Struthio camelus: one gene and its partners. The protein of the gene in region 2 interacts with the protein of the main gene of each other region in a pairwise test. Links are inferred from orthologs where the notes say so. Each region holds a gene or a part of one and is shown on either strand. Other genes may lie near its edges.

Region 1 (8,016 bases), on a different chromosome or scaffold from region 2:
GGTTCCTCGTGGTTCACACTGCGGCTACTCCTGCGTTACTCCGAGGTTACTCGCAGTCCACGCCAAGGTTGCTCTCATCTTACTCTGAGGTTACTCCTGGTTCAGGCCAAGGTCGCCCCCATGTTACCATTAGGTTACTCCCAGCTCACACCAAGGTCACCCTCATGTTACCCCGAGGTTACTCCTGGTCCACGGCACGGTTACTGCCACGTTACTCTGGGGTTACTCCTGGCCCACGCCGATATTACCACCATGTTACTCTGAGGTTACTCCTGGTCAAAGCCAAGGTGTCCCCGAGGTTACTCCCGGCTCATGCCAAGATTACTCCTATGTTACTCCGAGGTCGCTCCGGGTTCAGGCCAGGGTCACAGGGTTACTCCCATGCTACTCCGAGGTTACTCCCGATCCACACCAAGCCCCCCCCCCATTACTCCGCGGTTAGTCCTGGTCCATGCCAAGTTCCCCGACATTACCCCGAGGTTACTCCTGGTTCACCACAAGGTTGCTACGATGTTACTCCGAGGTTACTCCAAGTCCACATTAAGGTCGCCCCCCGCGTTACCCCGAGGTTACTCCCGGCTCACACCAAGACCACCACCATGTTACTACGAGGTTACTCCCAGTCCACACCAGGACCCCCACGTTACCCCGAGGTTACTCCTGGTCCCCACCGTCACCCCCACATTGCCCAGAGGTTACTAGTGGCTCACGTCAAGGTTACGGCCATGTTACTCCGAGGTTGCTCCTGGTCCCCGCCAAGGTCCCCCCCCGTGTTACCCCGAGGTTACTCCTGGTTTATGTCGAGCTTACTCGCATGTTACTCCGAGGTTACTCCTGGTCCACTCCAAGGTTACCCCGTTACCCAGAGGTTACTCCTGCCTCATGCCACTGTTACTGCCATGTTACCCCGAGGGTAATCCTGGTCCACACCGAGGTTACTCCGAGGTTACTCCGAGGTTGCTCCTGGTCTACACCGAGGTTACTCCGAGGTTACTCCCAGCTCACGCCAAGGTCACCCCGTTACTCCGAGGTTATTCCTGACCTACACCGAGGTTACTCCGAGGTTACTCCTGGTCTACACCGAGGTTACTCCGAGGTTACTCCCAGCTCACGCCAAGGTCACCCCGTTACTCCGAGGTTACTCCTGACCTACGCCGAGGTTACTCCGAGGTTACTCCAGGCCCCCAATGTCGCCCCCGCGTTACCCCGCGGTCCCCGGCATCGCTCAGGATCGGCCCCTCCAGCGCCCCTATGGATCCCGTACGTGGGTGTAGATATGTACATAGGCCACGAGCGGCGCCTTTTTTAATGTATATATATATATGTATATGTGCAGCATGAGACGCTTATAGGCCCAGACCCCTATAGCGCCCCGGGGGGGGGGGCCATGCTGCCTCTATAGGGTGCTGGCGGGGGGGGGTCCTTACAGCCCCTATAGCCGGGGTCGCTCCTGGCTCGGGGTCCGTATGGATTCTATAGGGAAGGGCGCCCGGCCGGCCGGTGCCGGGGGGGGGGCCCGTATAGCCCCCGTAGGGGGTGTTGGTGTGGGGCTGCCGTGGCAGCTGGCGGGGGAACCTATAGGCTCCGTAATGCCTCTATAGGGGACCTTCGGGCGTCTATAATAGCTCAGGAGCGGTGCTGCCATAGGGGCCCCCCGGGGCGCTTTTAAGGTGCCCTTATAGCGCCCGTAGCGACCGGGCAAAGCACTGTATGGCATCTATAATGTCCAGAGAGGGAAGGCGGTGGCATATAGAGAGTTTCCGTAACAGTGCTGCTTGTATAGGACATCCTATAGCAGCTATAATGGTTCCATAGGGGACCCTAAGGCATCTATAGTGCCTGCGTAAGGGCTGCCACAGCCCCTATAGTAGCCCCAGGCAAGGAGCACTCACACAGAGCAACCTACAGCGGATATAAGGGACAAACCCCCTCGCTGGCGGCGCCTCCGGCACCTATAGCGCTGCCGTGAGGCCGGCGGCGTCCGACCGGGGGGGCCCCTATGGCGCCCATAGGGCCTCGCAAGGGGGCAGCACTCAGCCGGGAGACGGTATAGGGGCCCCGGGGGGTAAAGGGGGGGTTCTTGGGGGGGCACTATGGGAGCCCCTATGGCATCTATAAGGGCCAGGCGGGATTCTATATGTTGCTTATGCTGCTCATGTAAAGGATATAAAGGCCAAGAAGGGTTTTCTATAGTATCTATACTGCGGGTGTAAGAGCTGTTACGTGTTTCTGCGATCCCCTATAGCATCTATAACGTCCCCACGGTGTCTCTAGGGCCCAGGCGCCGCCATAGGGGCCCCGCAGCCCCTGCGTGGGCTCCGGGGGGGGCGCCTATAGGTGCCGGTGTGCGTGGGGGGGGGATGGGATCCATAGGGTGCGGGGGGGGGTTCCCACGGCCCCTATAGAGCCCCCGGGGCGGGGTGTGGGGGGGGGGCGGCCGCGTCGTTTCGGCTGTACGGGAGCCATTAAAGGCTGCGAGGAACCCAGGCGTCCGGCGTCTGCTGGTGGGGGGGGGCCCCAGGCGTCCGGGGACCCCCTCACCCCCCACCCCCAAGGGGCCCAGGCGTCCGGGGACCCCCTCATCCCCCACCCCAAGGGGCCCAGGCGTCCGGGGACCCCCTCACCCCCCACCCCCCAGGGGCCCAGGCGTCCGGGGACCCCCTCATCCCCCACCCCAAGGGGCCCAGGCGTCCGGGTGCCCCCCCCAACCCCCATCCAAAGGGGCCCAGGCGTCCGGGTGCCCCCTCATCCTCCCCCAAAAGGGGCCCAGGTGTCCGGGGACCCCCCCATCCCCCCTCCCACATGGGCCCAGGGGTTCGGGTACCCCCATTGCCCCCCCCCCAAAAAGGCCCAGGAGTCCAGGTACCCCCCCATCCCTCCCCCCAAAGGGGCCCAGGCGTCCGGGTGCCCCCCCAAACCCCCCCGAAAGGGGCCCAGGTGTTCGGGGACCCCCCCCATCCTCCCCTCAAAATGGCCCAGGTGTCCGGGTAACCCCCTCATCCTCCTCCCCAAAGGGGCCCAGGCGTCCGGGGACCCCCCCTTACCCCCCCCCCAAGGGGCCCAGGCGTCTGGGTAACCCCCAAAGAAGGGGCCCAGGCGTCCGGGTATCCCCTCAACACCCCCCCCCCCGCGAAAGGGGCCCAGGCGTCCGGAGACCCTCTCCCACCCTCAAATGGACCCAGGCGTCCGGGTACCCCCCACAGAAGGGGCCCAGGCGTCCGGGTAATCCCTCCATCCTCCCAAAGGGGCCCAGGCGTCCGGGTGCCCCCCCTTACCCCCCCCCCACAAGGGGCCCAGGCGTCCGGGTAACCCCCAAAGAAAGGGCCCAGGCGTCCGGGTATCCCCCCATCACCCCCCCCCCCCCGCGAAAGGGGCCCAGGTGTCCGGAGACCCTCTCCCACCCTCAAAAGGACCCAGGCGTCCGGGTACCCCCCACAGAAGGGGCCCAGGCGTCCGGGTACCCCCTCATCCCCCTCCCCAAAGGGGCCCAGGCGTCCGGGGACCCCCCCTTACCCACCTCCACAAGGGGCCCAGGCGTCCGGGTAACCCCCAAAGAAGGGGCCCAGGCGTCCGGGTACCCCCCACAGAAGGGGCCCAGGCGTCCGGGTAATCCCTGCATCCTCCCAAAGGGGCCCAGGCGTCCGGGGACCCCCCCTTACCCCCCCCACAAGGGGCCCAGGCGTCCGGGTAACCCCCAAAGAAGGGGCCCAGGCGTCCGGGGACCTCCCCCATCCCCCCCCCACAAGGGGCCCAGGCGTCCGGGTAACCCCCCCATCCCCCCAAAAGGGCCCAGGCGTCCGGGGACCCCCCTTACCCCCCCCCACAAGGGGCCCAGGCGTCCGGGTAACCCCCACAGAAGGGGCCCAGGCGTCCGGGGACCCCCCCATCCCCCCCAAAGGGGCCCAGGCGTCCGGGGACCCCCCCTTACCCCCCTCCACAAGGGGCCCAGGCGTCCGGGTAACCCCCACAGAAGGGGCCCAGGCGTCCGGGTAACCCCCCCATCCCCCCAAAGGGGCCCAGGCGTCCGGGTACCCCCCCATCACCCCCCCCCCCCGCGAAAGGGGCCCAGGCGTCCCGAGACCCTCTCCCACCCTCAAATGGACCCAGGCGTCCGGGTACCCCCCACAGAAGGGGCCCAGGCGTCCGGGTACCCCCCCATCCCCCCAAAAAGGGCCCAGGCGTCCGGGGACCCCCCCCTTACCCCCCTCCACAAGGAGCCCAGGCGTCCGGGTAACTCCCCCATCCCCCCGAAGGGGCCCAGGCGTCCGGGTAACCCCCCCATCCCCCCAAAGGGGCCCAGGCGTCCGGGGACCCCCCTTACCCCCCCCACAAGGGGCCCAGGCGTCCGGGTAACCCCCAAAGAAGGGGCCCAGGCGTCCGGGTAACCCCCCTATCCCCCCAAAGGGGCCCAGGCGTCCGGGTAACCCCCCCATCCCCCCAAAGGGGCCCAGGCGTCCGGGGACACCCCCCCAAAGGGGCCCAGGCGTCCGAGCGGCCCCGCGTGCTCGCTCGTCCCCCTCCCCCTCCTCTTCCTTCCTCCCACCCCCCCCCCCCGCGCTCCCCGAATGGTCTCGCCCGCTGCCGGAGGGGGGGGGGGGGCGGAGCCTCGCTGCCCGCCGCGCACGCGCGGCCCCGCGGCGGGCCAATGGGGCGGCGTGGCGGGCGGGTCACGTGGGGAGGGAGGGGGCGGCCGGGGGCGGGGCCGCTATATAAGGCGGGGGCGGGCGGCGCCGCGGCCGCAGTCTCCGCCGCTCCGGCCCCTCTGTCGTCGCCCTCGGGTGAGTCGCCCCTTCCCTCCCTTCTCCCCCCTCCCACCGCCTGTCGCGACCCCCCCCACCCTGCTCCGACTCTGTGGCCCCCCCCCTTTCCTTTCCGCTGTCGCGATAATCGCGGTTTCCCGCCGCCCGGCCGCTCTGCGCATGCGCGGCCTCCCCTCCCGCCGCCGCTACGGCGGCGCGGTGGTCGCTCTCTGCGCATGCGCGGCCTCCTCACGCTACGGCGGCGCCGTGGTCGCTCTGCGCATGCGCCGCCGCGGCGCCCTCCCCCCCTTCCGCTGTGGGAGGGGGAGCGTTCGGTTTGTGCGCATGCGCGGCGGCAGGGAGGTCGGGGGTGGGCGAGGGGCGGTCCCGCTCCCCTCCCGCGCCTGCGCGGCGGCTGGCGCATGCGCGCGCCGCTAGGGACGCGCGGGGCGGGAAAGGGCGGCACGTGGCCGCCGGACCCACGTGGGGCGGCGGGTTGTGACGTGCGGGGCGGGGGGGGGGATTGTGACGTTGCGCGGGCGGCGGGGGCGGGGGGGGGGAACCCACGTGGGACGAGGGGGGGGATTCCCCCGCGGGGAGGCGGCGCTGTGACGTCAGGGCATCCCCGGGCGGGGATGACGTCGGGCTGCCCGGGGGGGGGGGCGGGGGGGTGGATGGGGATGCCTTTGGGGTTCTGACGTCACAGCGATCTATTTTTGGGGCTGGGTTTTAGGGGGGATTCCCGGGGCGGGGGAGGGGGAGGGAGTTTCCTAGGGGGATTCCCGTTTTGGGGGACCCCTGGGGGGCTGAGGGTGCCCTGGGGGGGTCTCCGTGGTTTTGGGGGTCCCCTGGGGGGGTTGGAGTGCACCGGGGGGGTCCATAGGGCTCGGGGAAGGGGTCTACCTCGTTTTAGGGGTGCCCTGGGTGGGTGTTAGGGTGCCCCAGGGGGGTCCCGTAGGGTCTGGGGGGGGTCTCTTTGGTTTTGGGGGGGCCCATAGAGCCCTGGAAGGGGTCTGCTTGGTTTTGGGGGTCCCTTAGGGGGCTTAGAGGACTGCAGGGCAGTCCCATAGGGTCCTGGGGGTGGTCTGCTTGGTTTTGGGGCTTCCCTGGGGGGGTTGGGGTGCCCCGGGGGGGGGTCTATAGGGCTCAGGGGAGGTCTCCCTGGTTTTAGGGGTGCCCCAGGGGGGTCCCATGGGGTCCTGGGGGGGTTCTTTGGTTTTGGGGTCCCCTGGGGGGGGTTAGAGGGCTCTGAGGGGGTCCCATAGGGTCCTGGGGGGGGGTCTCCTTGGTTTTGGGGGTGTCCTGGGAGGGTAGAGGGCTCTAGGGGGGTCCCATAGGGCTCTGGAGGGGTCTTCTTGGTTGTAAGGGTGCCCTTGGGGGGGGGGGCTTGGGGTGCCCCAGGCGGAGCCTATAGGGCTTGGGGGGGGGGAATTCCCTGATTTCGGGGGTGCCCAAGGGGGCTTGGGGCACCCCGGGGTGTCCTGTAGCACTTTGGGGGGGAGTTAGGGGGCTCAAGTGGGGGTCCCATAGGGCTCTGGGGGGGTCTCCTTGGTTTTGGGGGTACCCTTGGGGGAATTGGAGGTCCCCTGGGGGGGGGTTGAGGGTCCCCTGAGGGGGTTGGGGGGGTCCCAGGAGGGTCCTATAGGGCCCTGGGGGGATATTTTTGGTTTTAGGGGGTTCTTCTTGGGGGGGGTGGTTAGAGGGCCCAAGGAGGGTCCTATAGGACCTCGGGGGGGTTCTCGCTAGTTTTGGGGGTTCCTCTGGGGGGGGGGTGTCCTGGTATTGGGACTCCCTTGAGCGTGTCCCCCCCCCCCCACGCGGCGCAGCCCCCCGCCATGTCGTCGGAGGAGGGGAAGCTCTTCGTCGGGGGGCTCAACTTCGACACGGACGAGCAGGGCCTGGAGCAGCACTTCAGCTCGTTCGGGCCCATTTCGGAGGGTGAGGACCCCCCTCCCCGAGCCCTGGGACCCCCCCCCCCTCCCCAAGGGCTGGTTTCCTTCTCCTTGCCCGGGGGCCACCCATGGGTGGGGGGTCTCGGGGTTGTCTAGGGGGTGAGACGGCCCTGGGGGGGCACGATGGTGCTCCTGGGGGACCTGGGTTCTTGTAGAGCCCCATGTTTGGTGGGACACCTATGGGTGGGGGTCACGGTGGTGCCGTTGAGGGTCCCCACGTCTCCTAGAGCCCCCTATATGGTGGGACAGCTATGGGTAGGGGTCATGGTGGTGCCGTGGAGGGGTGCCATGTCTCCTCGAGCCCCATATATGGTGGGACGCCTGTGGGTGGGGGTCACGGTGGTGCTCCTGATGGTCGCCATGTGGTCTAGACCCCCCCCATTTGGGGAGCATGCCCGGGGTGGGGGTCATGGTGGTGCTCTTGAGGCTCCCACTTATCTCTAGACCCCCATATTTGAGGAGGACACCTATGGGTGGAGGCATGATGGTGCTCCTGAGGGAGCTCGTCTCTTTTAGACCCCGTATTTGGTGGGAGACCCATGGGTGGGGGTGATGGTGGTGCTCCTGAGGGTCCCCATCTCTTCTGGGCCCCCATATTTGGTGGGACAGCTATGGGTGGCGGTCACGGTGGTGGTCCTGAGGGTCTCCATTTGTCCTAGACCCCCATATTTGGTGGGACACCCATGGATAGGGGTCGCGGTGGCGCTGCTGAGGGTCCCCATCTCTCCTAGACCCCCATATTTGGTGGGACACCCATGGATAGGGGTCGCGGTGGCGCTGCTGAGGGTCCCCATCTCTCTTAGACCCCCATATTTGGTGGGACATGTATGGGTAGGGGTGATGGTGGTGCTCCTGAGGGTCCCCGTGTCTCTCAGACCCCCATATTTGGTGGGATACCTATGGGTGGTAGTCATGCTGGTGCTCCTGATGGTCACCATGTGGTCTAGACCCCCGTATTTGGTGGGACACCCATGGGGGGGGGTCGTGGTGGTGCTGTTGAGGGTCTTCATCTCTCCTAGACCCCCACATTTGGTGGGACACCCATGGGTGGGGGCCATGGTGGTGTTCTTGAGACAGCTTGTTTCTTCTAGACCGCCGCATTTGGTGGGACACCCATGGGTGGAAGTCCCAGCGGTGCCCCTGAGGGTTCCCATTTGCCCAAGACCACCATATTTGGGGAGAACTCCCATGGCTGGGGGGGGTCCCCATGTCCCCCAGACCCCACATTTGGTGGCCAGCACCCATGGGTGGGGGTCTCAGTGGTGTCCATGGTGGTCTCCATCACCCCCAGAGCCCTGTATTTGGGGGACGCCCGTGGGTGGGGG
Region 2 (7,875 bases):
ATTCAATAATTTATTAGTTATTGATTGTAGTAAGGTTAGAGTAAACCAGTGAAGAAGGAACGGAGGTATGATCAGGAGGAACACTTTCGTGAAAGTGTTTGAGTGATCAGCAGTAGATTAGCTGTCCAGAAGGTCAGAAGGAACAGCAGAGATACAGCCCCAAACATGAGGAAGCAAAATATAAGATCTGGTGGTTGTCTGCATGTGGAGGAGAGAGGGGAAATTGGTAATTATGCCATAGATTCACAACAACTCTGTCAGTTTTGGTAGCATCACAGGGAAGAAAGAAAAGAGAGGGGGCATTCTAGGCTGCCTTTTATTCTTTGCAATCGGTTTCTATTTAAGAATTTTTCTGTCTTCAGCTGCTGTTTTACAATTTATCCTTTGGGTTAAAATCATCCCAAAATAATGATAAAGGAGGTCTTTTGTTCTAAGTTCCTTTCAGGGAGGTTATATTTCCTCCTTTTGTATTTACCTTAGGTCATCTTTTCAGTTATTTCTTCTTTGCAACATATTAAGAATGCTAAATGTGAAATAGAGCTGTAATAGACATAATTTTATTTGATGTGTGTTTTGAAGAACTAAGAGCTTGTGACATGGTTATCATAAACCAAGTCATAGCATAAGCCTGCATTCATCGTACAACTGGAACTCACACTGAACTCTATCAGAGTGCTAGGCACAGCAGAAATATATCAAATAATGTAATGTTTTGGAAAGAAATAAGGGATGATGCACTTTTTACCTGAAAATGTTTTATATGATTCATAGACTACAGACTAATCTGTATGATTCGTCTCTGTTTAAGACTATCAGTGTTTATTCAGTTGTATTAGTGGAGAGATCCAAAATCTACTGATATCAGGATCTTTCCACTGAATTCAATCAGCTGTGAGTTGGACCAAATGCCTGAGTCTTTTGCTGTGCAAAGTGGCTAGTCAGAAGGTGATCTACAGTGATTGGTGTATTTGCTGAAGTACATTTCCTTTCTGGGTTGTTCAGCCAAGTGTTCTCATTATGGAAATAAGTTTTGCATTGACAACTTGTGTCCAGGTATGCGTCCAGGTGTCCTGTTATCAGATTGTAAAGCAGCATGAACTCCAAGGACTAGGGTTCACAGATGAGGGGGCAGTGGCCGGATAGAAGCCAGGTACAGCCATTGTCCCAAGAAGGAATTAAACATACTAAAGAAAAGGAGGGGGAGACATACTTATGCATGTATTGCTGCTTCCTTATTCCTTATATTGTGAATAATAACTCTGGTTTAAGGATAGGATATAGTTAACACAGCTGATGGTAGAAACTCCCTAGGCTGTTTACGCTGATGTGTAGTCAATTTAGGAGCTCAGATAATCTCTATCCCTAGCTAAAAATGGGTGAAACAGAGAAGAAATTTGAAAGCAAATGGGATTTCTGAAATTGAAAACTCCTGACTAATCTTGTCTCTGGTGTATGAAGGCCTAGGTGTAATCACACACATAAAGGTGTGATCTCATCTAATTCATCTAACTTATTACAGTGACTAATGTGCTGACTCAGAAATGTAACTGTCATTGTGCTCACACTTGTCATTCATTCTACTGCATATTCTCAAAGGATTTCCTAGTTTTTAAAATATATATTTGGAAAGTTTGGAGATTTTCTACAGCAGTATGCTTCCACTGCCTTTTGACTTCAGTGCTACATGATAGCACAAGGGAGATACATTCAGCTGGTAGTGGCAAAAAGACACAATGATTGCTACCTGTCTATCTTCAAATAAGCTATAATCTAGTATGCTGTGATCTGCTTCATTATCAGACTTAATAATAAAATATAGTACGGATAAACTTTAATTTGGCTTGACACTTTAAACTAAAAAGTTATAAAATGTGCCTTTGGTTTTTAGTAGCTATGAAAAAGAATTCAATCTCCAACTAGCAATGAAGCCATGCTTGATGTCATTAGAGGTCTATATTTCCTGTCTGACAGATTTTAATGATTTTTTTTAATGAGGTCTAAGGTAAAATTTAGAAAAGCATCTCAATGGCTTTGCAGCCTAAGTATCATTGAAAGTCAATTTAACTTTATAACTTTTGAAAATGGAACTTACAGAAAACTTGTCTCTGCCTACCTTGCTGTAAAAAGATCAGCATGCCAACCTGTTCTGTACTCCCTTGACCAGAGAAATGAGTTCAATGAATGTAGCCCTTCCCACTGCTCAATAAACATAAAGGTGTTTGAACAAGGTGCTTTCTTGTAGGTGCTTTCTACAAGCTAAGTGGGATAACTGCAACTAAACAAACTAAAGTGACACTATTCTTATATTCTTATATTCTTATTCTTATAGCACCCCAGATGGAAAGCCCATCAAACAACTTCTTTCCTATACTTGAGAACATAGCATGCCCTGAAGGCTAGAAGACCAGCCTTGCTTCGGAGTAAGGATGGCTTAAATTAGTTTTGAAGATGTACTCAGAGAATCAGGAGCAAGACCTCTCAGAGAATCAGGAGCAAGAGCTGTCACCGATCTTTTCTCTTTTTGAAGTGAGGGGGACCAGCCTGAATTATTCTGAGGAGTAGAGCTGCAGAAGTATGGTATGAAGACACAGGCGATCTCTCTCTCAGGTAAGATAGTCCTGAGTTCTGTCGCAAACAATATGGCATTTCTTGCTAAATTGTGAGCCATGTGAAGAAGAACTGCCCCTAGTTCTATGTTTGTCTTTGTTTTATTTGTTTTTTTTTAAATGAGGACTTACACCTTTACCGCCACATCCAATATGTAACAAAAGCTGATTGCCAATTAAAGCAGTCATTTCCATAATCAGAGTCTTATTATCTACTTCTGAAGTGTTTCACATGTCTTGAAATCAAACTGTTTTCCTGCTCCTTGCCTTTCTCAGTGGGGAACATAGTTCTCATACCTTCTCTTTCTTTGTTGTTCTTTCTTTTTCTTTCTTTCTTTCTCTTCTTTCTCTTTCTTTCTTTCTCTCTTTCTTTCTTTTCCTTTCTTTTTCTTTCTTTCTTTCTTTTTCTCTTTTTTCTTTCTTCCTTTCTTTCTAGAAATAGGAATAGTAGCACTTCAGTCTTCTACATCTATGCTATATGTATTTTTATAAATACATGGAGGCCCTCAATTACTCTACATACTGAGTGGAAATTGAGTAATGGCTGTCTGCATATATCTCAGGTTTTTGAAGACATCACAGACCATTTTCTATGGCTGTTTAACACCTTTCTGTCCTGATTTTTACCTTTGCTTATTCCTTCATCCCCTGAAAAAAGTACAAATAAAAATCCAAACACTATAGAAAAAAATCCCTTAAGAGGAACAGTAGTAGGTGATTTGAAAGTGTATTATGGCAGTAACTATTTATTTCATTAGAAAAACATATTAAGTTAAAAGCAGAAAGAATCTCACCTTGAGGTTGAGCATAGCACACATAGTATTGTATGATGGACAGTTTGTTCTTGAGGCCCCACAAATGACGTTTTAACAGCCTTAAGATGAGCTAAACATCTTTTGTTTACTCTCAGAATCAAAACATGTTAGTAAATTGTCTGTTGGGGGAAAATCCTGAATAAATATAAGCTAGAGTAAACGTATATTTAAAGCTAAATTCTAATTAAAACAAAATCAGTTTTATTTACTCCAGCTGTAGACACTTCAATTGCGTAGCCGCTGTAATTCCTCAGGTGCGGGTGCAGGAGCTTCAGTTCGCTGCGCCAGGAGGCGCAAGGCTGCCTGCCCACGCGAGACCGCCCCCGCCCGCGGGCCCCTCCTGCGCGGACAGGTCACGGCCGGGCCCGAGCAGCCGCGCCGCGCCGAGCCGCCGGGGCCCCGAGCGACCCGCCGCCGCCGAGGCGCCGCTGCTCCACGGCCGCCGCCCCGCCCCGCGGCCGGCGGCGGCTTCAGCACCGCGGACAGCGCCCGGCCGCCGGGGCCCGCGGGCGGGGCAGCCGCGCGGAGCCCACGGGCACGGACAAATGGGCTTACACACGCTCCTGAGCGCACGCACGCACACACATATACGGGCACACACGCAGTCACAGCGCGCACAGCCACAGCCACGCACCGAAACACGGAGCGGCAGCCACACACACACACATACACACACGCGCGCGCGCGCTGCGACGCACGGACAGGAGCGACGCAGACACGCAGTCACAGCGCACAGGCAGACACAACACACGCGTGCACAAAGAAGCACTCAGAGACAGAGCCACAGGCGCACGCTCACACACGGAGACACGGCACACGCACCCCCCCCAACACACCAGTCACACACGTTCGCGCGCGCGCGCGGTCCTCTCCCCCCGCCCCCGCCCCCGCCCCAGACCGCTCCGCGCCCCGCCCACCGCCCGGCGACAGCCAATGGCGCGGCGAAGTTTCCGCGTGGCCCCCGCCCTGCCGGGCACAGCCACCAATAGGAGCCGGGGGACTGAGCGTGCCTGGCCCCGCCTCCCTACTTAGGGCGGCCGGTGGGAGCGGGTGGCTCACTGGGCGGGGGGGGCAGAGGCGCGCGGCGGCACACGCTGGGACACGCGCGCCCACACACGCGCCCCCCGCGTGGAGCGAAGGCGGCGGGGGGTGGGAGGAGGAGGAGGAGGAGGAGGCGGTGCCGCCGCCGCCGCGGGCAGCCGCGCCGTCGGGGCGGCGGCGGGCGCGGCGCACCTGAGAGCGGCGGGGCGCCGGGTCACAGCGAGGCGGCCGGAGGCGCGGAGCGAGCCGGCCCGCCCGCCCAGCCCAGCCCAGCCCAGCCCAGCCCGCCCCGCAGCGCCCGGCCGCCGCGGCCCCGAGGCGATGGAGCAGGAGAAATATCTGCCCGAGCTGATGGCGGAGAAGGACAGCCTGGATCCCTCCTTTGTTCACGCCATGCGCCTCCTGGCCGACGGTAAGGCTCCGCGCCCGGCCCCGACCCCGGCCCCGGCAGCGGGGCGGTGCGGCGGGGCCGGGCCGGGCGGGAAGCGCGGCGGCGGCGGCGGGCGGCGGGCTCGGCGTCCCCCCCCCCCCCCCCCAACGTCCCCCCCAGCCTCGGTCCGCGGAGCGGAGGCCACCGGCGCTGCCGGCCGCAGGTGCGGAGCGCGTCGGGCGGCGGCCGCTGGGGCCGGGTTTAACCGCGGGCGCGCCAGCTCCCGCCCTGGCGGGCTGCTGCGGCCGCTCGCCGGGAAATGCGCCTTTTACTTCTTTGGGGAAGGGGAAGGTCTCTCCTCGAGGCTTGTCCGTAGAAGGCGGATGGCCGCGCTGGTCCCACGGGCCGTTGCAGTTGGTTGGGCTCGGGGAGCATGCTGCCATGGCCCCTGGTTTTATTTACACACAGGCAGACGCTAGTTTCTCGTTGAACTCATTACCTCTTCTTTCCCGTGCTTAATAATAAGGCTTATATGATAACGCTGTTACGCCTTCAATGCAGCACTGTTTTCCTTGACTCCGCTCTGTCAGGCGTTCATTGGCTGGGGCTTATCAGTTTCATGCCACAAGTTCATTCAGGACGTGATGAATTACTCCTGGACTCGTGGGGCGATCTAGAATAAAACACTCATAACATCTCGTTCTTCATTATCATAACGTAGCTCTGTTTTCCTCATTTTGGTTGAGGCCTTTTTTTTTTTTTTTTTGACTGGAGAGTCTTTTAAAAGTTTATAATTTAGCCTATTTTTTCCCCCATACCCGCTCAACGTGGTTACTGAGCGCAGGCCTTGCAGTACGGCGCTTCCAGTTGCACAGCACCGTAATCTGTGACGGCCCCCTCCCTCTGTTCCTTCGGAGGTGTATATTGTTCGTTTCTAAAGTCACTGTTAAATTTGGATCCAAATATCAAAACGAAGTAGTAAAGAGTGCATAAATCAAGAGAGGCTATCAAACCCTTAAATGAGACTGAGGCAAAGAAATGGATGATTAGGCCCTTGAGAGAGTCGCAAATTCCAATTATCTCACATTCAAAGAGGAGTGAATAATTTCCAAAGTTCTGTAACATCTTAAGGAAAAATTACAACCACTTAAAACTTACTATGCTAGCAGTACTTGTCTTTCCCTAAGCCAGCAGTCTTTCTGTTGTCTTTCTTTCTTACACGTTTTCTTGATTGTGAATAAAGGTACTGAGTCTAGGTTTTATTAAAGTGCCCCTGTTTGATAGTTTGGAAGTTCAGTATGAATAATGACACATTTAGTATACCTTTGTAATTGGTCTCCTGCTGCTGAAGAGATAACCACGCTACTTCCCATAGTTGTTTTTCTATTAAGGACTTTATATGTACCATATGTTTATTTCGGAAAGGGGCATATTTTCTGCACCTTGCAATTTGATCTTTTCCCAGAAGGGGGAGGTATCTACTGAGAGTGTGTGTGTGTGAAAGAAAGAAAATGCATGCAGGAAGTAATTCAAAGTGTGTGAAGTAAAGTTTTTAAAAAAAAAAAAAAAAGGGGGGGGGATGACAGAGTTTCTGAGTTTCAAGTTCATGCGAAAATTGCATTTTGAGTGGCTTGTGAGACTGCATAAGTGATTAGCATTCTCCTTCGTTCTTAGTATAACTAGGACTAAGTATGTGAATTTTTAAAAAAGATGAAGGTGAATTGTCTGTGGAAGCTGTAGGGAATGCTAATGTCAGATTCACACCAGATACCTGGCATTATCCTTCAAAACACCATCTGTCAAGCTTTCTAGAGATTCATTTTAGAGTCTAACATATGATAACTATTGAAACAGTTTCATCAAAGTAAGAGTCAAACTAGTTAAGGAAACAGGAGTGAATGCACTGATTGCTCCTGGGTATAAGCAGAAGGAAAAATGTGTACAACAGGCGGAAATTTTTTGGGATGCCAGAAGAACATGGAGCAGTAGCGCAAGGGCAGTAGCGTAATCTCTGTAGTAATATGTTTCTAGGCTATGCTGGCTTTAAAGCAATGCTTCCAGATTATGGATTTCTGTTCTTTGAAAAATAATATATGAATAGCTGCATACATACCAATAGTAGTCAGGTGTTATTTTTGTGGTGTGCTAAGCTTTTTTGATTGCCAGTAGATTTAGTATAAAATGTGTAAGTGCTGGTTGCAGATTTTTTGCTTCAGAGTGGAGAGCCTCCAGCTCTGACTTGAAAGTGCTGTGATTTTTCATGTCACTTGCTAGGAGCTGAGGTTGAGAAGAGACATGCTCCTGTTGGAAACCGTAGAAGGGCACACAAGAGAGCAGCATTACAGAAATACAGTTTCAGTTCATGACACCTGGGTTTACTTGGATTGACTTGTAAAAATATTTCTGTTTCTTTTAAACTTTAATATTAGACTCTGCCGTTTTCCTTCCCACAAATATGTATTTTATGTTTAGACGTGCCTAACTTATTAAGCTGTGAAGATGTGGGTGACACATGGAAGCTACAAACCACTGGACCTTTCTGATAATTTGTAACTTCTTTTATATCAGCATTATTTTAATAAGCCAGAGTGTCAGCTACTTGTCGCAAACAATATGTCGGCAATTTTCCATGTATGCGTGGCTTTGAAATAGCTTACATTGTATATTATTAAAACCAATTGCCTGTGTTTTCTAGTAGAAACATAAAGGAAAAAGACCCTTTGGAAAAAGAGCCAGCCAAAGTAAAAGCATCTTTCCCTATTGAAATATCAACACTACTTGGGTAATGAGGTAGCTAATTTCGCTCTGTTTAATGACAGTACAATTGACCTCAGATTTTCAGCTGGCGTTCTGAAGGCAACGAGAATCAGGTCTTTTACTTTAATCGCGAGTTAAGCCCTGAGTCTGCAGATTATTCTATGCAGCATGCTAAGAGTTTGTGAAACCTCCAGGCATGTCGGTTAGTCTCATATGGCTCGATGTCATAGAGCTCCTTGTAGGACAGGGCATGATTATTCAAAAGGGATATAGTTGTTTAGCCTCT
Region 3 (7,558 bases), on a different chromosome or scaffold from region 2:
TCAGCAGCACAGGAAACATACATTTAACCCCTTTTTTCCAGATAGGCCAAATGAAAAGCCTGGATCCATCCACTATCCCAACAGGGTGAAAGACCGATTCCTGGTGAGCCTTATCCCTGGTGAACCCCACCTTCTGAACAGTGAGCAGAAGCAGTCACAGGGCTCTAGCCTGTTCTGGGCTTCTGCTCAATGGTGTGTTATTCCCACTGTGCACATGAATTTACACAGCTTAGCGTTTTCCCCTCCATCTTTTGTAGGGATGTCAGAATACCCCTGGCTGAACAGTGGGGCATAGGTGGAGCAAGTGAAGATGAAAGCACAGAGACGGTAGCTCATGGTTGAATTATTTATTGGGTTTTGCAGATGACTGAACCCCTATATAGAGGATTTAAGAGGACTGCGTAGGAAGAAATGAATACCCCAAAGCCTGGCAGCTGTGGCATGCCATGGATGTGCATCCCTCACCCTCTGTGAAAGCCATTTATCTGTACTTCTCAGTCAGAACAGAGGAAACGCTGGACAGGAACTTGTCCCACGCAGCATGAACTTCTGGGGTGAACTCAGTGGGATAGCGGGCAGCCACAGAACACAGGATACAGTGGGAAAGCAGCTGTAAGGGAAAACAGGACAGAATCCATTGTGATCAGTATAGACCTCAGTCTAGGGATCTGTAACAAACCTTACTCCTAGCCTGCTCTTGGACGACAAACACATGTCCCAGCCAGTTAACACTGGCTAAAGTGTGAAGAAGCAGAATTGCCTTTTGCACAGGGCAAAAGGCACTGCTTGATACTACTCCCGCTTTTCAAATGTCCCTTCCTCCTTCACCAATGGGCAATGCAAGAAAAGTGGAAATGTTGTTTAGAATTTACTAAGGCTTTCTTCAAGAAAGGTGATATTATACTCTGACATGTGAGAAAGGTTCATAAATTACTACAAAGACAGCAGGGACTCAAGTCTGTCTAACACAGACCACAGGAACCCCCTGAACAGTTCTTTTCTTGAGCTAGACCAGATCTTTCATGAAAAGATCCAATCTCAGGTTAATAATCAGATGACGAAGCAGCAACATGAGTTGACAAGGCTGTACAGTGCAGTAAGGGATCAAGCCACCATTAGCTGAAATGATCCCTGGTCTCTAATTTTGTGACTGGCAGTTTTCATCCCTGAAAGTGTCTGTTTGTGTTCACTCACCTTGAAGTTCACTGGGTCCACCCGTAGGATGTAAGCATGTAGCTCGCTGAGTTTGGCCAAAGCGCCTCTAATGTCATCAATGTGCTTCACAGCTTCCCCAATGGCGTTCATGACCTTGGAGCCATGACCACGAAGCTGAACAGAACCTTGGCTGAGATCGAAATGAGGGAAGTAGGTTTTTGTCTGGGGGTAGCTGGAGAAAAGCCTGGAGGAGAACAAGAGAATTAAATTCAGCAGCGTAAATTGCATGGAGGATCTCAACCTCAGGACAAGTGTGCTGTAAACCCACCAGCTGCAGCAGTACACTCGCTCAGCTGTTGTAACAGAGCTTTGGGGGTCTGAAGCTTGCATTAAGACCTGCTATGTTTCTGCTCTTAAAACACTTTGGTAGTATGTACAAATTAGCCAGGGGTCTAAAGCTCATGTATTATTAACAAATAATGCACCCAAATTGTCACCTACGTTTCGTGTATTACGCTGTCAGCCAGTTAGCAGGATCTGCAAACTAATCTGAGCTGAATGAACCAGAATCAATATGACTGGTACTCTGAGTCTCAGAAAGAGCATCACAGTACATTAGATTGATCTGTACATAACAACCACATAACTTTGGTTAACTTAATTGCTTTGGAACAATTTACAGACTACTCTCCCTTTTGTGCCAGCTTGCTGAATTTGGGTGAACTTCTTTTGGAAGAAGTAGCCACTTCCTTAGTCTTAAGAGTGGCTTGGCTTATTTGAAAGGGACATCCCTGTTGGGATAATAAGAAGCTATTGTATTTACAGTGGATTCCTTCAGTGCCCATTCTGTTTGCTGTGATATACTTCATGCAGGGTCCAGTTGTGTTGTTTCCTAACAGTCTGTTACACATCAACTGGCTCAAGGAAACGTGAGTATCCAATGAATTTATTGGACAGCTATCATCTATTAATGCTGATTATATGGTGATAGGAATTGCATCACTCATACAATAAACTGCTTTAAGTTCATTTCCTAGCAGTGATAACCCTATTTCAGGACATTGAGTATGAATGAATTTAAATTCCTCTTCCGTGCACCTGGCTATGAATTCTTCCGGGTTGCTATAAGGGGAAGGAAACCTGTAGAATTGAATAGAAAATTATGTCTTGCCATGAAGTTTTGAGGCCATCTGTTAGAATTTAGTAGCAAAGATGTAATTCCAGTAAATTACATATTAAATAACATCATAGAGCTCATCAGCAATTTCTATATAATTGCCTAAATTCTAAAGGACTTGCCACGAGGCTTGTTCTCCAAGACATATCTAGGTCCTTCCTCATCAGTGTTTCCTGGTGCAGCCCAAAATCCACTGACACCACATGCTCAGTAGCCAGCCAGCCTTGGGCCTTGTCCCGCAGGGCTCTGCGCGCCACTGGCAGAGCCGACCAGCTCCCCACTGCCAGAAAGGCTGAGCATGTGTATGGAGGCGGTTAAGGTGACTGCAGAATCTAATTCACACCAGTCCCAGTGTGATCTCATTCATATACGTTTTACACAAGAAGCATCCTAATAGCAAAGTCAGATGAGGCACCCTTTTAGGAGGGGTGCTGGGTGACTTACCTCTCCAGTGATTCTGCCCCGATGGCGTCAGCTTGGGTAGCCACCTTCGACCAGATGGTGATCACGGCGGCCTTCTCAGCTTGAGTCAGAGTCATTGTGCAAGAGGGTGCAGTCTCAGGCTCCTTGCAACGAACGCTCAGAGCAAGCTTGTGCTAACTGCCCTCACAGCCCTGGTTATAAAGAGGAAGAGGAGAGCGGATCTTGGCAGCTGTCCACGCTCATTGGTCACTCCTGAGGCCCTCCCATGGAGGTGGGAGACTCTTATCTCCCTGTGAAACAATGTCCATTTCGGCAAGGGTCAGTGCACTGGCCTCCTCGTTTGCTGGCGTTATCAGCTTCTTGCTTCTTAACGTAATGGCCATGTGGCCTGAAGAAATTGTCTGGACGCGTATTGATACATGAACAGTGAGATAATGGTGGAAAATTCCAGTGACAGAGTATTAGGACCCATCATTAAGCTGAGGAGTGTGTGGATTTCAAACATACTGAGAAGTCTAGAGAAAAATCCTTTTGGAGAAAAATCCATTTGCCTCCTTGCTTCAGAGATGTGTATACAAGGCCTCTGGGTTTTGCTGTGGCAGATCATACACGTCCTGTACACGTGGCACCTGCATGGTCCAATACTCATACAAAATGATTCCTGGGTAGCATTGGGTCAGGCTGGGAAATGCTCGGTATAGTTCAGAGTGGGAGTGCGTGACGGACCAATAAATGCTCACAATGGAAGAAGGTTCAGAGGAGATGGGCAAGGGTGATGTGCCCATATAGCCCCCAGAAGAATGCAGGAAGTGACTGATCACAGCTGTTACAAAGAAAGATGAATTTATCTCAACACAAAGGGGACCAGAGGGACCTGTGTTGTAGGTAAACGGCTGTGTCAGTTGATTAGGTCAACTGACTATATCACAGTTGAATGGATCAACTGATGGTGTAAATGTTTTTCCCGAGTTCATCGAAAGAGTATGAATGTCTGTGAGTTAAGCAGACCAGCATAGGGGGAGCATATACATGGCTAAACCCAATATAGACAATAAAAACTGAACAACTAACAAAACAACATTGAAGAAATCAATGGTCTTGAGCTGGTTTCAACCCACGTATTCCTTCCCAGCGTGTGGGGATGCCCAGCATCATGATGGTGAGCATATTATAGAGACTGGTAAGGGGAATTACATTTGTATTACGACTGAACTGTATATTGTAATGGCTATATTTTGCTAGATATAATTTACACTCGTATTGTGATTTCAGTTTTTTGCCCTGTAACTCTGTTACATCAGAATCCTATGTAACGTCAAATATCTTCAAAAAAGTAAATTTGATATTAAACATTACACCTTCCATGCGCGGAATATCTAAAAGAACGTGGTCAGAGTATTGGACTCTGACAGCAGTGGAGATTTTGACATTCATTTCAGCACTGCCAGGACTTCATTTTCCCAGCTTCTTACAAAGAATTAGGGACTCATTCCGCAATCAGTTTTGCTCATAACATCACCAGTAGTAATGACTTATTTGGATACATGGAGATTGAGTTTATGAAACTGAGCATGGTCCTAGAAAAATGCACATGCATATGAGAAAGCCCAGCCAGACACGTGTGCTTTCCTGTTGTCCACAGATCTTGAAGCACTGAGAGCAGGCTGCTTCCTCAGACAGTAACATAGATGTTTCCCAGCAATTCTTAAATCTATAATTCACTTATATACAGCTCTCTTGCGAGTTTCGTCACTAAATGTCTAACACTGCAAGTCTTTGATTTCTAGCTGTATTATTCTTACTGATTCCTTGTGCTGTAAAATAGTCCCTTGCAGCATAGACGGTGCTGGGGTGCACTGGGCTACCTGCTGGACATGCACAGGAAAACCTGGTCCTACCATAAAAGGCTTGTAGCTTCAGGGCACAGCCACACTTGATGGGTGAAGGACCAAATAAGAAAAGGAAAAAGCAGCATAGGTCTGTAATCACAGACAACTGGGCAGAGTGCCAAAGAAATACCCATCTGGAGATGGTCACTGCTGCCAGCACGTGTAGCCCAGGCTCTAGTAAATCTCTCCACCACCCTGATAAACTACAGAAACAATACACACCACTGTGTGCTGGCAGTGGTGCATGGAGAGCTGGCTGGTACAATCAGACAGGTCAGATCGTGTTCTCTGCCCAGTCCTGCATGCTTGCGCTGAGAAGGTTGATGTATGAGCCAGAGTCCTCACCAAGACATGCCTGCCTTTCACGACTGCAACAGAAGATGCTTCCCAGACACGGTCATCCTGCTTAGAAGAAAGCCCTTCTAGGGAACTTAGGTCACGTGCGGATTAGAGTATGTCCAGAACAGGGTAGTGTATGTGCTGTATATGTCCACATTAAGATGAGTTTGTGGCCAACTGAAAACCCAGAGCTGACTCTGCTCAGCTACACGGATGCGGTGCAGAGCAGTCTCCAATTAAAAGTTTCCTCTGATAGTGCTGGCAGTAATCCTTCAGCCAAGGCACAGGGAAACATAATATTCAATTTAAACAGCTTAAAGAAGTGTCAAGGCAGATTGCATTCATCACCCCTTGCTACATGCATTGTAAAAAACTTACAATTTCCCATAGAAAAATTACCTTGAAAATAATCATGCTATTGTGAGATGTACACTTATATAACGCCTTTGTCTCATTCCCCCCAACAGAGTGCTCCCCCTTGCATTGCCCATTGCAGAGCTACGCTCCAAGTTCTGCTCAGCGACGGTGCTTTCAATCACAGGTCACTCAGTCGACTCACGAGGGAAGTCACCGTGAACTGGATGTAGCCAGGCACGAGGCAGGGACCTTCCATCCTGTTGTGCTGCCCCCTGTTTAGCCTGGACATCGATTCTGCGTGATTGGAGAATTAAAGTCTGCGCAGGCACGAGGATCACAGCGACGTCTGCACAGGAGGCCTGCTAGCTCGTATCTGATTGCTCGTCTCTGAAATCTTTATTGAATTTTAATTCATTTCCACAGAGTTACTCTTGCACTACCATGAAAGCCAGAGCAACCAAAAGGCAACGGTGGTCTGTGAGAAGGAGCTCGCCACTTGCCTAGGACCAGGGCTGCACTGGAGACAGTTGTGGGAGCTCTTCATGCCCCTGAGGGAGAAGCATGGTCTATAGCCACATGCTGCAACGTGATGTGGGAGGGTGACAGTCACCCTTCCGTCCTTACATAGACCTCTCCACAAAGTCCCTCTGCCTCGGGGCTCCAGCTGCCCTGTGGAGTAACTTGGACAACACGATCGCTGTTGTTCCTCTGCCCACGGGATTGACTACGAAGCCGTGTCCCCCAGGAGAATGCACCTGACGCGCCTTCCGCTTTTTCTGCTGCTTCTCAGAATTATTCATAAATCCGTAGCAGGATGTGCATCTTTGTGCAGATAATTAGCCTTTATCACCAATTTGTGAGGTGTTGCCAAAGCCCTGGAAAAGAGCGGCAGGCCAGGCTGGCACGTGTATTGGCATCCTGAACAGCAGCTCGGCCTCAGGTCTCTCGAGCCACCCTCATCCTGCTCCTGGAAGAACAAACCAAACAGCAGGTGAGAAAAGCAATTTTTAGTATTAACGTAGGTCTTCTCTATTCCTGCTCAAAATTCAGGCCGTAGGAGGCACAAATGGATTTTATTTCTCTTTTTAAAGGGCAGAAGCAAGCAAAAGACATGTTTGCTCATTATAAAAGTGGGATTATAATTTCCTTGAGCCCTGACTGTAAATCCAGCGACTGAGCTAATGGCGATCCCTCCCTGAGCTCGAGGACAACGTTCCTCTGGGGCCTTCGTTCTGCATGGGAACTGCCCTCCTCTCGAAGGCGCCTTCAATGTATAACGGTGGCACATACCCCTGACTCTAACGCTGAAGAATTTGGGGCAGATGGAGTTTTGCAAATCTTGAAAGTAGACGCTAAACCCTGGTTTTATTTTTTCGTTTCCTGCCAGTGCTCAAAGGGCTTGCAGAACTTTGTTTTAATGGAGCTACTATCTCCTAGAGCTTGAAATGACAAACATGCGTGTAATTTATTATTAAAAAAGAAAAAAAAAGAAAGTATGCTTCAGAGAAGACTCCCCGGGGAAAATTTAACACAGCTGCCCAGTGCTGGCACATGAAGAATGCTCTGTTGTGATAATATGACTCCTCTTTAATCACTCTCAAACAACTCTCTTGCCTCAGTGACACCTACTTTTGCTTCAATTGTTATCATGTGCCGTGCGGAGAAGGGCAGCGCAGATTAAGCGCGGCGCTGTGTGTGCTCATCTGCCTTTCACTCTTCGACCACCCATTGCTCTGCCTGATGCCCGGGACGGGAATCTTGCAGAGTACAACCCGGAGGGGGGATATCGCAGAGTGTTCGAGTATCTACACGTTGCAATCAAATACAGGAGAAGTTGCATGCAAAACCCAGGCCGTTCTCTAAAATAATTGCAGATAATTTTCTGATCTCAGTTTAACACAAAAGACAAATGGCAAGACGAACGCACCGCGACAGCTGCCAGCGGAAGCAATGATTCGCTCAGTAATCCAGAGGGAGGTGTGCGTTTACGGGGTTCACCCGGCAAACTGTATCGGAGTGACATGCGCTGTGCCCTAAGGAGCCCGGAGATCATAGGGGGAACGTGGGAAACAAGATCAAACACGGCTTGCCACGTGCATGGGAAGCAAAGAGGTCTGATTTCCAAACCTCCTTGGTTTGGAAAGTGTGAGCCTTTAATGTCTAAATCCCGAGTGCCTAACAAGCCCTGCGATTAGGGACGCTCACTGGCTCGCTCTGC
Region 4 (7,307 bases), on a different chromosome or scaffold from region 2:
GCGCGGCGCGTGGGAACGGCGGGCGGTTCGGCGGGCGCCGGGGCCGGGGAGCGCAGCTCAGCCGGGGCGATTCCCGCGGCGGCCGGCGGGACGCCCGAGCCCCCCGCCGGCCGACGAAGCCGTGCCCGGGCGCCGGGGAGGCCCGGTGATGTGACCCCCCCCCACTTCGTCGCTCCTGCCCGCTGGCGCGTCTCGGTGGCCGCCGGGGCCCTCTGCCCTGGCCCCGGTGCAGGGCGGCTTCGTGACACCCCTCCCGCCCCGGGTGCAGTGAGTCTGCAAGGCCTCAGCCCAGCTCCTGCCGGCTCCGCGGGGCTGAGCAGGATGCTAGCCGGGGCTGGGGGGGGGGGGGGGGGGGCTACGCAGACCCTCAGGACCGAACGCTTCGGTGAGGGGCTCCGCCGGCCCGCCCCGCGCCGGAGCCATCCGGGGGTGGCGGGAAGGGGCCGGGGGGTCCCGCCGGGACAGGGGTCCCTACTTACCCCGCTCGCGGCCCCCGGCGAGGCTTTACGGGGCAGAGCGCGGCGCTTTGTCCCCGGCCCGCGGTGTAGGGTTTCCCGTGGCGTTTCCCGCGGCGTTTCCCGCGGCGGCCGGACGCGCGGCCGGACGCACGGCCGTCCCCCGGTCTCCTCCCTCCCCGCCCGGGCTGGGGTCGGGGCCGGGGTCGGGGCCGCGGCGGGGCGACCAGCCGAAGGCCAGCATGTTTTTCGTGGGGGTGTGAAACCACACGTGCGCCGAGCGCAGCCCGGGCTCAGCGCCGACGCGGAGCGGGCCGCGGCGGGGGGGCGAAGGCAGCGCCGCGGCCCGGGGCACCCCGAGACCCGGACGGGCTCGACCCGCAGTGAGTGAGAGTGGTGACTCAGCTGCCCACTGACATCATCCCTATTAATAGTGGTCTTTGTAGAAATTAATTAATCCCAATTAATTAGGGGGTGGGAATTGCCCCAGCGTTTAATCATGGTGTATTTTTAACGCGGTCGGCCTGGCCGGTTTCCACCTGGCGCAGGAGCCGGAGCAGGTGCCCGCTGCGGCGGGGCCGTTCCCGCGGGGGCCAGCGGGAGGGGGCCGGGAGGGGGCCGGGGTGCGCCGGGGCGGCATCGGTCGGGAAAGCCGGGCGGGCTGCCAGGTTGGCTGGGGTTTCCCAGGGGAGCCGGTTTTCCCACGGGGCGTTTTGGGGATCCGACCCTGGGCATCACCGGGCCGGTGCCGCTGAGCCCTGACGCGCTCACTCCACCCGCGCGCGCGCTTGCGGCGTGGCGGTCCGCGGCCCCAGCTCACGGGGCAGGAATTGGTTTCGTGCAGCCCCGTGGGGCCGGGCCGGAGCGGGACTTCCGCCGAGCCCCGCGCCAGGGGCCGGGGATGGGCGGCGGGAAGCGCCGGGGTGAGTCGGGACGGGTTGGGCTGAGTCACCGGCCCCAGGAATTTGGGGCCAGCCCTGGAATTTGGGGGGCCGAGCGGGAGCAGGTGCCGGGAGGAGCGCCGCGGCGGAGCGGAGCATCCCGGGGCCGGCGCGGAGCATCCCGGGGGCCGTTCCCCCCGAGCCCGCCGCGCGCCGATCCGTCGGGAAAGGGCTGCCGGCTCCCCGCGAGCCTCGTCCGCCCGCCAGCCGTGGGCCGGGGCGGCGAGATGGGGCCCAGCCCCGGCACCAGCAACCGGAGCGACCGGTTGGAGCAGGGGAGTCGGAAGCTGGAAGCGGTTGGGAGGGGTGCGCCAGCCCGCCGGCCCGGCTCCCGGTTTGGGAAGAGGGCGCCCGGCCGCGCGGGGTCCGGGCCGCGTTGCACAACGGCGGGGACGGGACGGGGGGGCCGGAGGGCAGCGCGCGCCCGGTGGAAACGGGAGGCGAGCCGGAGAGGAGAGCAGGATATAATTAGCTCCCAACGAGGACTGGAATCTGGGATAAAGATTCCCCGGCACCACCCGGCTCTTGCGAAAAGCCCAGGGCCCCGGCACGGGCAGCGCCGCCCGGCACCCTGGGGTGCCCCGGGGCTCGGGTGCCCCCCCCCGGGGCCGTTCCCGCGCCGGGGCGCGGGAAAGGCCGCGGCGGGGACGGTCCCCGGCGCGCCACCCGGCCGCCGGCCCGTAACGAGAGCCGGGATTATCGGCCTCGCTGATGCCAGCCGGGAATCCGGTTTCTCGGCCGCAGCAGCCTTCCCCGCCGGGAGAGTCGGGCTTTTGTTCTTTTTTTTGCATCGAACAAGAGGCCTTTCTGCGCCCGGGGGGGGGCCGGGCGGCCCCGAGGGGCCGGGGCTGCGTCACCCGATAGCCACCGCCGGGCCCCCCACCCGGCTCCGAGGACACCGGATACCCCGCGGGGCCGGGGCGGCCCGGCTGCCGGGGCCGAGGGCCGAGGGGGGCCGACGGACGGGGGCTCTGGCCCCCAGCGCCCACCCGGGAGCCGACCCCCGTGGCTCCCCCCGTCCGGCAGCCGGCACCTCGCTCCCGCCAGCGCCCGGCTCGTCCCGTTTGGGGCACGGGGTGCAAGCAGGGTGGGAGGGAAGGGGGGGGGATGCCGGGCCGGGAACGCCCCCTCGGCGGGGCGCGAACGCCGCCGGGGCCGGAGCGGGCGCCCCGCGCGCCGGCTGGCCCCCGCGCCAGCTCCGTGCCGGCGGTGCCAGGCCGGCCGGCCAGCCGCGGTGTCGGATCCTCCCGGAGGGAGGGGGCTTGGAGCTTATTTAACGGGCCCGGGCGGCCGCGGCCGGGCGCATTCGGAGCCATGGCGTCGCAGCTGGAGGGGGCCATGGAGACGCTCATCAACGTCTTCCACCACTACTCGGGCAAGGAGGGCGACAAGTACAAGCTGAGCAAGAGGGAGCTGAAGGAGCTGCTGCAGAGCGAGCTGGGCTGCTTCCTGGAGGTAGGGGCCGGCGCGGGCACCGGGGGCCACCCGGGCGCGGGCCCGGGGGGGCTGCCGAGCCCCGGCGCTCGCCCTCTGCCCCTTCCTCCGCAGACGCAGAAGGACGCGGGCGCCGTGGAGAAGATCATGCAGGACCTGGACGAGAACGGCGACGGCGAGGTGGATTTCCAGGAGTACGTGGTGCTGGTGGCCGCCCTCACCGTGGCCTGCAACACCTTCTTCTGGGAGAACGCCTGAGCCGGGCCGGCCCCCCTCCCCGAAACGCGGAGCCCCCCGCCCCCCCCTCGCCCCCCGGGGCATCCCGCCGGCATCCGGCTCCGCAATAAAGGCAGCGACCCAGCCGGCGGCGTGCTGTCACCTCCTTGGTCGCCGTGGATGGCGGGCACCGGGGTGGGGGGGCGCGGGGATGCGGGGCGGGACCGGCCGGCCGTCGCGGCGGAGGCGAGCGGCGCTGCGCCCCACGGGGCTCGAGGAACCGGTTCCCGCCTCCTCCCGGCGGGCCCCACGCAGGGCCGGCAGCGCCATCGCCTGCCGGGCTTGGCGGCTCCGGCGGGAGCGCTCCCCGAACGCCCCCTCCGGCACGGCCCGGGCCTCCCGCTCCGGCCCCTGGGGTCTCGGCGGGGCCGGCGCGCGGCGCCCCGCTGCACCCAGCAGAAAGCAAGGGGCAGCGGCGGCGCTGGCCGGCCGGAGCTGTGTCCTGCTCGTGGGCGACCCGAGGGTGCGCACAGACATCCCTGAGGGACCCCCTCTGCCCGACGGCGGGGTCTGTTCCCCCCCCAGGGGCGGAGGAGGCAGGGGCGCGGGCCGGGACACCCGCCCCACACGTGCTGCGGGCGCGGGGGGCTGTGGAAGCGGCATCCAGCCTCGACGGAGCGGGCGGCGGCCGCGCAGCACCGCGCAGCACCGCGCACCGCCGCCGCCGCCCGCGCCCCCCCGCCCCGCCGTCGAGGCCCCGCCCCGCCCCGTCGAGGCCCCGCCCCTCCCCGTCCACGCCCCGCCCCGGAGGCCTCGCCCCGCCGTCGGGGCCACGCCCCCTCCCCTAGGCCACGCCCCCATGCGCCTCCGGACCCCCGCTCGGCCGGCAGGGGGCGTGGTCACGCGCGGCGCTTGGCGCCTGCGCCCTGCCCGCCCTGCCCGCCCGCCGCCGCCATTTTGCCCGGCTCGGCGCGGCTGCTGGGGGAGGGAGGGAAGGTGCCGCGGTCGTTGCCGCCATTTTGTCGCTGGCTCTCGAGCGCGGCGGGAGCGGGCGGAGGGGATCGGAGCTGAGCCCCGCACCCCACCCGTCAGCTGTCCGGCCAGCCCCCACCGGAGACCTGGCGACCGTCTGCTTCGGTGAGAGCCGCCGGGCCTGGCCGGGGGCGGGGGGCGCTGAGGGGAGGCGCGGGGTGGCCTCAGGCGGTGGGGGCCCGCCGCCTGCGGGGTCAGTGCGGTGCTTTGCCCTGGGCTCGGCCCCGGCGGCCTCGCGAGGCGCCTCGGGCGGGGCTGGGCCGGGCCGGCGGGGCCAGGCCTCGCCCTGCTCCCCGGGCCCGGCGCTCGGTGGGTTCCTGTCAGCGCCGTTCCCCGCCAGCTGCTCTGTGCAGTTTGCGTGGGCAGGGGGAAAAAGGCTGTTTTGAAACCACCTTTCCCCCCCTCCCCGGTGTGGGGGAAGTGCTGCAGCGGATTATTAGCTCCGTTTCTAGCTGAGCGGGCTGTAGAACATCGTAAAAATCTTATTTGTTGCTAGTAGCTTGAGGATAAGTGCTTTTGCCAGTCACCTAAGCGCTAGATACGTTATTAATCATAAAAATGAGGCACTGATCCGAACGGTTAGCGGGCTGAGCTGTGTTCCTTAGCGTTTCAAGTTGTAGTCATCACTGCTCTCAGGCCTGAGCTGTGATCCAAAGATAATAACAGCTGGGTTTAAATCCCTTTAGCTGCTCTCATGAGCAATGTGATGAGGTTTCATATTAGAGAGCCGCATTGTGAGTGCTGGTGAGCTGCCTGTTAGAGTATCACATACTCGAAAGCTGAAGTAACTGCGCAAACATATATAGGTTACCCCTGTGCAGCCCAGCTGTGGCAATCCTAGGGTAGTAAGAGGGAATGTGACCTTAATATTTTGAAAGTATGTAGGTCTTCTGTAGGAAAAAGCAGTCTTTGAATAAGCTTTGGGGTGTGTGGGTTTTTTTTTTTTGGTATTACCGAGTGTGTGGTATGCCTCTCTAAGATGGAAACCCCATTTTCTGTTTTATTGATACTAACTGCTTAGAAGCTGTAGAAGTGTCACTAGGTGCAGTACCAAACAAGATGTTTGGGTGCCGTCCTGGCTGCTGATGGACTATGTTTCTGCAGCATTACTCCTACCAATGGCAAATCTTCCCTTTCTGAAAAGAAGACTATTTAGTAAGGGATGAGCCAGCATAACTTGCTAGCTTAATAAATTTACTGCATCATGACAATGGCCTAGGAAACTTGAGATAGAGTGTTTTTTGCCAAGTTCTTGGCTCTCTCCACAAAAGGATCTGGAATGGAATGCAGGTTTCTGAATGTTTAACCACGTAAACGCGAGTTCTCCTGCTGTTTTTTAAATCAGGCTCTCATGTTTTGCAGATTCTCTTGATCTGAAGATGGCTGCACAGTCAGCACCGAAGGTTGTGCTAAAGAGCACCACCAAGATGTCTCTGAACGAGCGGTGAGGAAGCCAACAGCAGCTTCAGCTCATAAGAAATTTTTTACTTAATTATCACTGTCTGGTTTCCAAAAACCAACGTGGTTTCTGCCCTGTTTTAACCTCGCTATAACAAGCAGATGGCTATGCACCTCTGTCTTAAACTGCAACAAATGTGGTACACAAGGTTAAAAGGGCAATTATTCTGGAGAAATTTATCCGTAGCAGTTAAAATTAAACTATTCAACACATAAGTATGGTGGGATGTGTTATGACAAAAAAGAGAAACCTCGCACCCTCCCTTTTTCTTCCACATGTTTTTACATTTATATAGTTGACACTGCAGCATGGTAGCATGTTACCTAAGCTGCAGTAGGCTTGCTGCTTTGTCCAAGGCAGACACACGTGCATGTGGTCTGGCCTGTAAGAGGCAGGCAGCAGGCCATTAAACAAGCCCAAAGGCCCTTTAACAACGTTTTGGGCCTTGTAAGAGGCAAATGCTTTGCTCCATCTCCATCTCTCTCTTTTCTTGGTGCTGAGTTCTTTATTTCTTCTGCTGAATATCCTCCTGCTTTTCCATGCCATTACGCTTTTGTGGTTCTGCAGTGACAACTAACAGCAATGCTTCAGTTATGTTTCACCTTCTCGCTAATCGCTCTTGGATTAACCACGTTAATAGCATTAGGCCAGGGAGAAATGAACCATTTGTATGCAGTTCCTGTTCCAGCAAGTGCTGCAGCGAGACTTAGTCTGAACCAGTGCTTGGCTTGCCTCCTGGAGAAGAGGAATAGTGAGGTGCAGTGAATGCTTGCTGGCCTGTTGCTGTTTGGTCAGTCCATACTACTCATTCTGTAGTGCTTTATTTTGCTGTCCTGGTAACTCCTAGGACACAGTAGAAAGCTGATGGGTTGCTGCTAAGGAAGCTTACCATCTTGTTGTATGTTCTAGGCCATATAGCTCTTAAAGGCAGAAGGTTCCTCATGCGTCAAGGAAAGTGCTAGATAAACCGTTTTCTATAAATGACTACACTCAGATGGTGGTGTTTCTTGTGGCACCGTTTCTGTGGTGTGCTGGAGGCATACCAGTCTGTTCTCAGGGCAAAGTCTTTTATAAAGCTGTCTTCTGGGGTTGAGTCTTTAGAGAATTTTCTCAACTCCGTGAGGTTATTTTGGCTTTTGCAGTCAGATTTCAGTTGGCTTTTCTACTTCTGTGCAATGTCCTCTTCCATCTGTCATGGTCATCTCTGCTTATTGCTTGTTTTCATTCCTTCTTCCATTTCTAAAATCGGTAAACTAAACCTTTACCACTTCTGAATTAATACACAACATCATTTCTAAGTTTCCAGTTCTTGCACATTTGTGGAAAACAAGGAATACGTAACTCACATATGACGTGACCTAAGTACCACTCTTTACATAAGGTTCATGGGATCTGGAGATCCAATCTTGAGAACCATGAAATGCCAATAAATGTGTGTAATAAAGCTTTATTTAAACACCCATTTTATTCGACCTTGAAGCTTTACTAACATGCTGAAGAACAAACAGCCGATGCCAGTGAATATTCGAGCTACCATGCAGCAGCAGCAGCAGCTAGCCAGTGCCAGAAACAGAAGACTGGCCCAGCAGATGGAGAATAGACCTTCTGTCCAGGCTGCTTTGAAACTTAAACAGGTGAGAGAAAGTATGATATTCTAGTGCAGCCAGTTGATGATGCCTGTCGCCAGCTGATGGCTTTTCAGGATACGATGGATTTTGAAAAATGTCCCCGAAAGTTAAAGATGAGAGGCATAGAAGGGGCTAACTGAAA

What was found.
Region 1: the proteins of KHDRBS2 (region 2) and RNA-binding protein 3-like interact in binary tests that used the Homo sapiens proteins (3 or more experiments, as listed by UniProt). The link is inferred for Struthio camelus from reciprocal best matches to the Homo sapiens genes KHDRBS2 and RBM3.
Region 3: the proteins of KHDRBS2 (region 2) and hemoglobin subunit pi interact in binary tests that used the Homo sapiens proteins (3 or more experiments, as listed by UniProt). The two-hybrid records come from large-scale screens. The link is inferred for Struthio camelus from reciprocal best matches to the Homo sapiens genes KHDRBS2 and HBZ.
Region 4: the proteins of KHDRBS2 (region 2) and CHTOP interact in binary tests that used the Homo sapiens proteins (3 or more experiments, as listed by UniProt). The two-hybrid records come from large-scale screens. The link is inferred for Struthio camelus from reciprocal best matches to the Homo sapiens genes KHDRBS2 and CHTOP.

The regions. Positions count from the first base shown.
Region 1 is NC_090979.1:807,451-815,466, forward strand, and holds the start of RNA-binding protein 3-like, read left to right. Parts: upstream 1-4,681; 5' UTR 4,682-4,778; intron 4,779-6,565; 5' UTR 6,566-6,574; coding exon 6,575-6,677; intron 6,678-8,016. UniProt on the Homo sapiens protein: Cold-inducible mRNA binding protein that enhances global protein synthesis at both physiological and mild hypothermic temperatures. Reduces the relative abundance of microRNAs, when overexpressed.
Region 2 is NC_090944.1:36,990,452-36,998,326, reverse strand, and holds the start of KHDRBS2 (KH domain-containing, RNA-binding, signal transduction-associated protein 2), read left to right. Parts: upstream 1-4,727; 5' UTR 4,728-4,783; coding exon 4,784-4,874; intron 4,875-7,875. UniProt on the Homo sapiens protein: RNA-binding protein that plays a role in the regulation of alternative splicing and influences mRNA splice site selection and exon inclusion. Binds both poly(A) and poly(U) homopolymers. Phosphorylation by PTK6 inhibits its RNA-binding ability.
Region 3 is NC_090956.1:19,172,638-19,180,195, forward strand, and holds hemoglobin subunit pi, read right to left. Parts: upstream 3,146-7,558; 5' UTR 2,872-3,145; coding exon 2,777-2,871; intron 1,400-2,776; coding exon 1,195-1,399; intron 611-1,194; coding exon 482-610; 3' UTR 324-481; downstream 1-323. UniProt on the Homo sapiens protein: The zeta chain is an alpha-type chain of mammalian embryonic hemoglobin.
Region 4 is NC_090971.1:4,710,782-4,718,088, reverse strand, and holds the start of CHTOP (chromatin target of PRMT1 protein), read left to right. Parts: upstream 1-3,992; 5' UTR 3,993-4,183; intron 4,184-5,440; 5' UTR 5,441-5,457; coding exon 5,458-5,522; intron 5,523-7,017; coding exon 7,018-7,171; intron 7,172-7,307. Other genes in the region: S100A1 (protein S100-A1), read left to right, coding at 2,711-2,851, 2,945-3,088. UniProt on the Homo sapiens protein: Plays an important role in the ligand-dependent activation of estrogen receptor target genes. May play a role in the silencing of fetal globin genes.